2 linked regions of the Mus musculus genome follow. The protein of the gene in region 1 interacts with the protein of each later gene in a biochemical or structural test. Links are inferred from orthologs where the notes say so. Each region holds a gene or a part of one and is shown on either strand. Other genes may lie near its edges.

The links.
Region 2: the proteins of Jag1 (region 1) and Cd46 form a complex in vitro, tested with the Homo sapiens proteins (2 studies listed by IntAct, with this or other methods). The link is inferred for Mus musculus from reciprocal best matches to the Homo sapiens genes JAG1 and CD46.

Annotation. Positions count from the first base shown.
Region 1 is NC_000068.7:137,085,468-137,089,119, reverse strand, and holds part of Jag1 (protein jagged-1 precursor), read left to right. Parts: intron 1-409; coding exon 410-523; intron 524-610; coding exon 611-724; intron 725-891; coding exon 892-1,008; intron 1,009-1,476; coding exon 1,477-1,504; intron 1,505-1,957; coding exon 1,958-2,043; intron 2,044-3,088; coding exon 3,089-3,202; intron 3,203-3,652. UniProt on the Homo sapiens protein: Ligand for multiple Notch receptors and involved in the mediation of Notch signaling. May be involved in cell-fate decisions during hematopoiesis. Seems to be involved in early and late stages of mammalian cardiovascular development.
Region 2 is NC_000067.6:195,082,151-195,085,802, reverse strand, and holds part of Cd46 (membrane cofactor protein precursor), read left to right. Parts: intron 1-367; coding exon 368-470; intron 471-2,166; coding exon 2,167-2,255; intron 2,256-3,023; coding exon 3,024-3,221; intron 3,222-3,652. UniProt on the Homo sapiens protein: Acts as a cofactor for complement factor I, a serine protease which protects autologous cells against complement-mediated injury by cleaving C3b and C4b deposited on host tissue.

The DNA.
Region 1 (3,652 bases):
TTTTTTTTTTTTCCAGAGATTTCTATTATGGTGGCTGTAATGATCTCCTGTATCTCCTTGGTATTTATTAAGGCTGCTGGGCAGTAGTGGGAGGAGCCACCACTGGGGGATGATAGAATTAGATTGGCAGTTAGGTTCTTTCCAGGCACGTATTCTGACTTGTTGACATTTCTGACCATCTTGATTTTAATTGCCATGGGCATTCCGGAGGATTGTGTGCTCTTTATAACTTGTATTCTTTCCGCCTAGCCGAGAACTTGTCTAAAAGGTTGATGATGAAGTTGAGGTCCTAGGACATCTCACTTGTTCTTGGAAGATAGCATAGAAAGCCAGGGTTGGATCTTCTCATAGTCGAGCTTTGCCCCTTATCATGACGGACTTCTTCAGCCTTGTGTCTCTTTGGTTCTAGACATAAATGACTGTAGCCAGAACCCTTGTCACTACGGGGGTACATGTCGAGACCTGGTCAATGACTTTTACTGTGACTGCAAAAATGGCTGGAAAGGAAAGACTTGCCATTCCCGTAAGTGTTGCTGCCGGGGTCTCCTGTCTGTCTTCTGAGGGAGGGGAACTCTCTAGCAGAGAGACTCATGCTAAGGTCTTTCTTCAGGTGACAGCCAGTGTGACGAAGCCACGTGTAATAATGGTGGTACCTGCTATGATGAAGTGGACACGTTTAAGTGCATGTGTCCCGGTGGCTGGGAAGGAACAACCTGTAATATAGGTAACCTTCTGCCCCCTAGGTGGGATTTGCTGCGGGCAAGGCTATTGTCTGAGGTGGTCTGCCGCCAGGCTCTTAGGAAATGATCATTTCCTTGGGTCTGGTTCTGCCCCTTAGACCACCTTGGATCCTCTGGAAAAGGGTGGTCTTAACCTGTTTTTGTTTTATAGCTAGAAACAGTAGCTGCCTGCCGAACCCCTGTCATAATGGAGGTACCTGCGTGGTCAATGGAGACTCCTTCACCTGTGTCTGCAAAGAAGGCTGGGAGGGGCCTATTTGTACTCAAAGTGAGTGGCCTCCCCTGAACTCTTTCTGGGTTGCTGCAGCCTACCCAAAATACCCATGGGGACTTGGAATCGAAACCAGAAGCACAGCTGTTTGATGTCTGCTTTCGTATCACCTGGGTCCTTACTAATGACTTGATGGGCTGCAGCCCTGACCTGGGCATGAGAAAGTTCCCTGGGAGATAAGTGGAGACAGATGCTGACTCTGTTCCCAGCCGCGGGTCTGACCAGCAGCCTGCCTCCTCCCATTCTCAGCCCTCCCTACTCCCTGTTCCCTACAAGGGCCTCTTCCTGTATACATGTGTCCCACAGCAAATGAAACTGAGTATGGTCCAGGCCTGCTTCCAATTTAGACTAGGTTTTCGGCGTATTTGACTGGTATTAAGTGTGACTTTTATCATTTGGGTGCTATGGAAATAAGTAAATGGTGCTGTGATGGAGACCCCCAAGGCTGTTGTCTTTTCTTTGCAGATACCAACGACTGCAGTCCCCATCCTTGGTAAGTGCGGCAACCTCTTAAGCTGGTTCTTGGCTGTTAGGATGCATGGGAATCTCCCGGGATGATGCTGAAAATGTAGGTTCTGATTCAGGAGGTCTGCGGTGGGGCTGTGTGTTTCTAACAAGCTCCCAGGTGACCCTGCCCTGCTGCTCCGCGGACCACACTTTAATTATCCAGGTTGTGTCTTCATTTAGTGCAATGATTCTCAACCTCAGGCTGCACAGGGGAATCACCTGGGGAGCTTTTAAAAGTCCCAATCCCTGGGTTGCGACTGAGACCTAGGAAATGAGATTCTCAGGGGGTAGGACCCAGGCATCAGTATTTTTAAGCTCCTCGGTCAGCAGCAGATATGGCCTGGGGTGAAAGCCTGTGTTTGTGGCAGGCACGGCTTCCAAGTGCTGGGTATGTTGTGGACCTGGATGTCGGTAACTAAGGTCACCTTTGGTTTCTTAGTTACAATAGCGGGACCTGTGTGGACGGAGACAACTGGTATCGGTGCGAATGTGCCCCGGGTTTTGCTGGGCCAGACTGCAGGATAAGTAAGTGTCACTGTATCTGATGTCCCCTTGTCTGTCCTCCTCAGCATTCAAATCTTTCCTCTTTAAAAACAATGAAGACCATAATTCCAAATAACCCTGACAACTCAAGCCCTCTCCTCCCTCTAGCTTGGATTTAAAAGTCCCTCGCTGTTGTCCTCCCTCGTCATTCTCTGGGTGGCACAGCCTTCTTTGTTCTCGGGGAGAGTGCCAACCATAGAATTTGACAATTAAGCTATGAGAGAGCCCTGAGGGAAAAAAGTGTATGCATCCCTCGTGATTAGCATGAAATTATGGCCAAGCCATTGTCCATGAAGACGGCTGTCTCTGGCTCCATAGACTGTTTTGTAGTGGGTTTGACCAGGCCCCAGAGAAACAATTAGTAGGATCAAGGAGTAAGGTTTTTTCTTAGTGTTTGTTTTGTTTGTTTTTCTTTTTGCCTACTTTTTAAAACATCTTTTTCCCACACAAAACAGTGTAGGAAAACTCTTATTTTTGTTGTTGTTGTTTTTTTTTTTCCTCAAAACTTTAAAATGTTAGTTGTATTTGAAGTCCCATAATCTGAGATGGGCTGGACTTGAGCACTAGGTGAGTAAGTTATATCTGTTTCACCTTCTAAAGCGGGTTTGGCAAAGGCATCTGTCCCACCTGTTTTTGTAAATGAAGTTTATTGGCACTTGGCTGTCCTTACTTGGGCTTGTCTATTTCCTGCATCTGCTTACAGGGTGCCACCAGACACCACTGGTTATGACCGACTTTATGGCCTATGAAGTTAAAATGCTCGCTCTGACCCATTTTCAGGGAACGATGGTCAGCCTTGGTGTAAAGTCAGAGGAGAGAGAAGCTAAGGGAAAATTGCTCCCTTTGCAGAGGTTCTCAGATTTAGGAATCAGAACTGTTGTGGTCTTTGGTAGTCAGGGGCTGGTACAGGCTTTGTGTGTTGTGTGCATGGAAATTCACCAAGTTTGTATCAGCATTTGGATGCTTTTGGGCAATGTCTGTGAAAAAACTTCCCACCGAAGTCTGAACTTGACCTCATTTCTCCTAGACATCAATGAGTGCCAGTCTTCCCCTTGTGCCTTTGGGGCCACCTGTGTGGATGAGATCAATGGCTACCAGTGTATCTGCCCTCCAGGACATAGTGGTGCCAAGTGCCATGAAGGTAGGCATGCCAGGGTGTGTCTTCTGAATTGAGTGGGCTTCACAGTTACCACAGCTCACAGTGGGGGGGGGGGGTGCACCATGCTCAACGGGGAAGGGAACAAAGCAGGGTGGTACCTATGGGTTTCTGTTGCCACTTAGTTGCCATGTAACAAAGTTCCTTAAAACCCAATAGCTTGCAGTATCCATTTTTGTGGCTTGTAGCATGATAGCTGGGCAGAGCACTGATTCCAGGCGCAGTTCTGGTCAACTGGTCCTTAGCTATCTCTGAGGCATGTTCTTCTTCTCATGATAGATGGCAGGCACACGGGAGGCCAGCTCAACTGGGAAAGCTCTGTTACAGGGCCTCTCGGGTCACATCTGCTGAGACTGCTTTAGTCAAGTGACCCAAGTGAGCAGTCAGAGGGGATGGATGGCCAGTGCACGTGCCTGACATTGTGGGAGGAGCTGT
Region 2 (3,652 bases), on another chromosome or scaffold:
AGATACATAATGGTTGTTAAGACACAGTGGCAGAAAGAGCTGGGAACTCACATCTCAGAATGACAAGTAGGATCAGTGAGAATACTGGTAATAGAACAAGTCTTTTGAAACTTCAAAGCACACCTCATTCTAGTGACATTCTTCCTCCAGCAAGGTTACACTTCCTAATCTTCCCCACACAGCCAACAACTGGGAACCCACTATTCAAATGCCTTTATGGAGGCTATCTTATTCAAACCACCACACTCTTACAATGTAATTATTAAATAATCCACAATCTCAAAAGAACTATATATGATTTTGACTTTGATTCAAGTGCAACTGGCACTGGAGCTATATTAAAGTTTTTATTGTTATTTTCTTCTAGAAGTTCAATGTACTATGTTACAAGACCCTTCATTTGGCAAAGTATACTACATAGATGGCAGCTTTTCATGGGGTGCTCGAGCTAAATTTACTTGTATGGAAGGGTAAGTTGCTCATTATGGGAAATAAGGTAAATGTTCCTGATTCCATTGTTGTACTTCTGTTGTTAAGCATTCAAATAAATATACTTTCATTTTGCTTCTAAATGACAAACCGTGCCCCTAACCAAACAATATTTGGGTCCTTTATAGTGGTAGGAGAGATATTTAATAAATAAAGAAATTGGAGGAAAACAAGTGTGTATAATACTTGCTATATCTAATAAAAAGTCTATGATAAACATTAAGAATGGGAAAATCTTCCAGGGATAATGATTCATACTTGTAATTTCAGCACTCAGGAGGATGAGACAGACGGGTCTCTATGAGTTTGAGGGTAGTCTGGGACACACAGTCAGTTCCAGGCCAGTCCGGGATACAGATCCAAAGAGGGTGGGTAATTATGGTGACCTTATCCTTCACAGTCAAGTATATTTACTGCCAATTCAAGGTTGAAGTAGGGTTATAATGAACTTGAGGTAGAATTACTAACCAAAGGAGAATTCTGGAAGGTATTAGCAAGTCAAAAATTAAGATGATTCATCTTAACCACCATATGACAGGATATTTCAGTTGGGAAACATTATTTTCTAGACTGCTACTTAACCTGAACCATCTCAAAAGGAGACATTAGCCACTGAGTAACAGTTTTTATTCTCTAGGACTCTCTCAGAAGTAATTACAAGTCTTGGGGAAAGTAGGCTATGACTATCTGTAAACAGAGTTTCATTGATAATTTTTAAACTATCACGTAAAAACACATTCAGTTAAAGCTATGTGGAGGAAATTTTCTAGGCATGTTTAGGGAACCAAACATTCAGGGCATAAATCTTTCTCAAAGACACTGTAATCTTGTTGAGAAATCCAGTAGATACAGAAGCTACTGAACAAAATAACAAAAAAAATGCCAGATAAGAATACTTCATGATGGTGACATGGGGGTCCACAATAACAATCTGTGCATTTAAATCATGGGAGACTTGATAGGATTAATACTGATCTGTTTCTAGGAAGACATTATGATCATAATATTAGTAAGAGTTAACATTATTTTTACTTGCTGTGTGCCAGACTCTAATTTATCTAATTCTCTTGAACAATACTATGAAATCTTTGATTTAATTTTGTTTGTTTTGTTTTTGTTTTGTTTTGTTTTTACAAGAGGTCTCACTATGTATGCCTGGAGCTTGCTGTGTATACTAAACTGGCTTTGAACTCACAGAAACATGCATGCCTCTACCTCCTGGGTTCTAGGATTAAACTTGTATGCCACCACACCTATCTATTTGTATGTTTTTAGTTGAGGAACAAAAGAAACTTTAAATGGTTTGCCAAAGGTTAAGTGGCCAGCAGTCATGGAGCTAGGACGAGAACCCAGACAGACCTTCCTAAGGAATCCTTTCTCTGCTTCATCCTCTCAGAGCAGAATGGATGAGCAAAGGCTCAGATGCATACTTATATGATTGTAGGAGATAGCAAAGATTCCAGTTCACATCAGATGTTCCTAGATATAACAGTGTGTGTTCACAAACTATTCATCTGATTAAAGCTTATTTTGATTTGTTTAATTCTTTCATTATACCTTAAAAAACCTGTCCCTCAAACTACTATATTAAGGGGAAGTCAATTAAAACTGTCCTTCATTATTATGTGTATCTTACCAGCTACCAAAGAAAATAGTAACTTTTTCTTTGCTATCTAGTTATTACGTAGTTGGTATGTCAGTTCTACACTGTGTGCTTAAAGGTGATGATGAAGCATACTGGAATGGCTATCCCCCACATTGTGAAAGTAAGTAAATTCTCTTTTTAAAATTTAGAATATGAGTTCTCAACCTCTTGGCCTGAGGACCCTATTATAATTTTAGATTGATAAGTGCCCAAAAATCTTTTCTCTGTGGTTATATCTATAGATAGTAATCATGTTAAAGATGTTTTAAAATAATTATTTCTTTTTAAGGACAATAAACTCACATGTTTTTACTGAAATTTCAAAAAGTGAGGCTAGGGACACTGCTTTACGGTTTTGTAATCTCTTCAATATTTGGCTTAGAGGAAGATATAGGGAGTTAATTCCTTTGATTATCAAAATTTGTAGCTTTTGCAAAAAGCTGATTGTACTGTGAGGATGAAAAATGATAAATGATAATATGTTAGTATGATTGCAAGCCACCAGGCTAGTGAATGAATGTAGCTGTCTCTTAACACACATTTCTCATTCAGTTTAATTTTTTTACATCACAGTTTTTCATTGGCTGATCATCATCTTTTCTATAAAGTAGCACAAAATTTAGCATGGTCTCACAAATAAACTTTGTGTTTTCCCTTAGAAAAATGAGTATTTGTCCTAAAAGGTCATTTCTTAGGGGTTTAAACTTGGGATGATGGATTTTATCAGAGAAACTGTCTTCTAGATGAAATTTCTATAAGTTATAGATAACATAGAAATCCTGTATTGAAGAATTTGTTTACGATAATTTATAGAATTTTCTAAGACTGTAGTGAATAAAGACACTACATCACTTTTAACTTTTATTTCCCCTTTTTTCTTTTTATAAAGAGATTTATTGTTTACCACCTCCAAAAATAAAAAATGGAACACATACCCTTACTGATATAAATGTATTCAAATACCATGAAGCAGTAAGTTACAGTTGTGATCCTACCCCAGGGCCAGATAAGTTTTCCCTTGTTGGAACAAGCATGATATTCTGTGCTGGCCATAACACCTGGAGTAACAGCCCTCCGGAGTGTAAAGGTAACCATATTTTCTTCATTTGTAAATAGTTTTACCTAAAAGTAAACATAGTAAGCACATGTACTTCCTCCTCTTATGAAACTATGTTCAAATTTAATGTCATAGCTTTTAAAGTTAAATTTAAAAAATCATTCCAGTTATGGTGTTCTCATTTCCTGGTATGTGAGCTACTACCCATAGCCATGAGGTAGGATATTTTTGTTTGAAAGAACCAAGAGATCAACATATACTGGCTGGATAACTCTGATAAGAAAGTGTTCTCTTGTGTTACAGGAAGATGGAGCAGTCTAGCTATAAGAAATGGCAGAGTGGATTATAATCAGCAGCCCTCTCTCTGAAAGAACTATAAAATCTGGACAAAAAATGTTTGGGTTTTATATTGTTGTTTTGTTTTGTTTTAATTCCAAAATGTTTAAGAGTCTCAAGAGTTA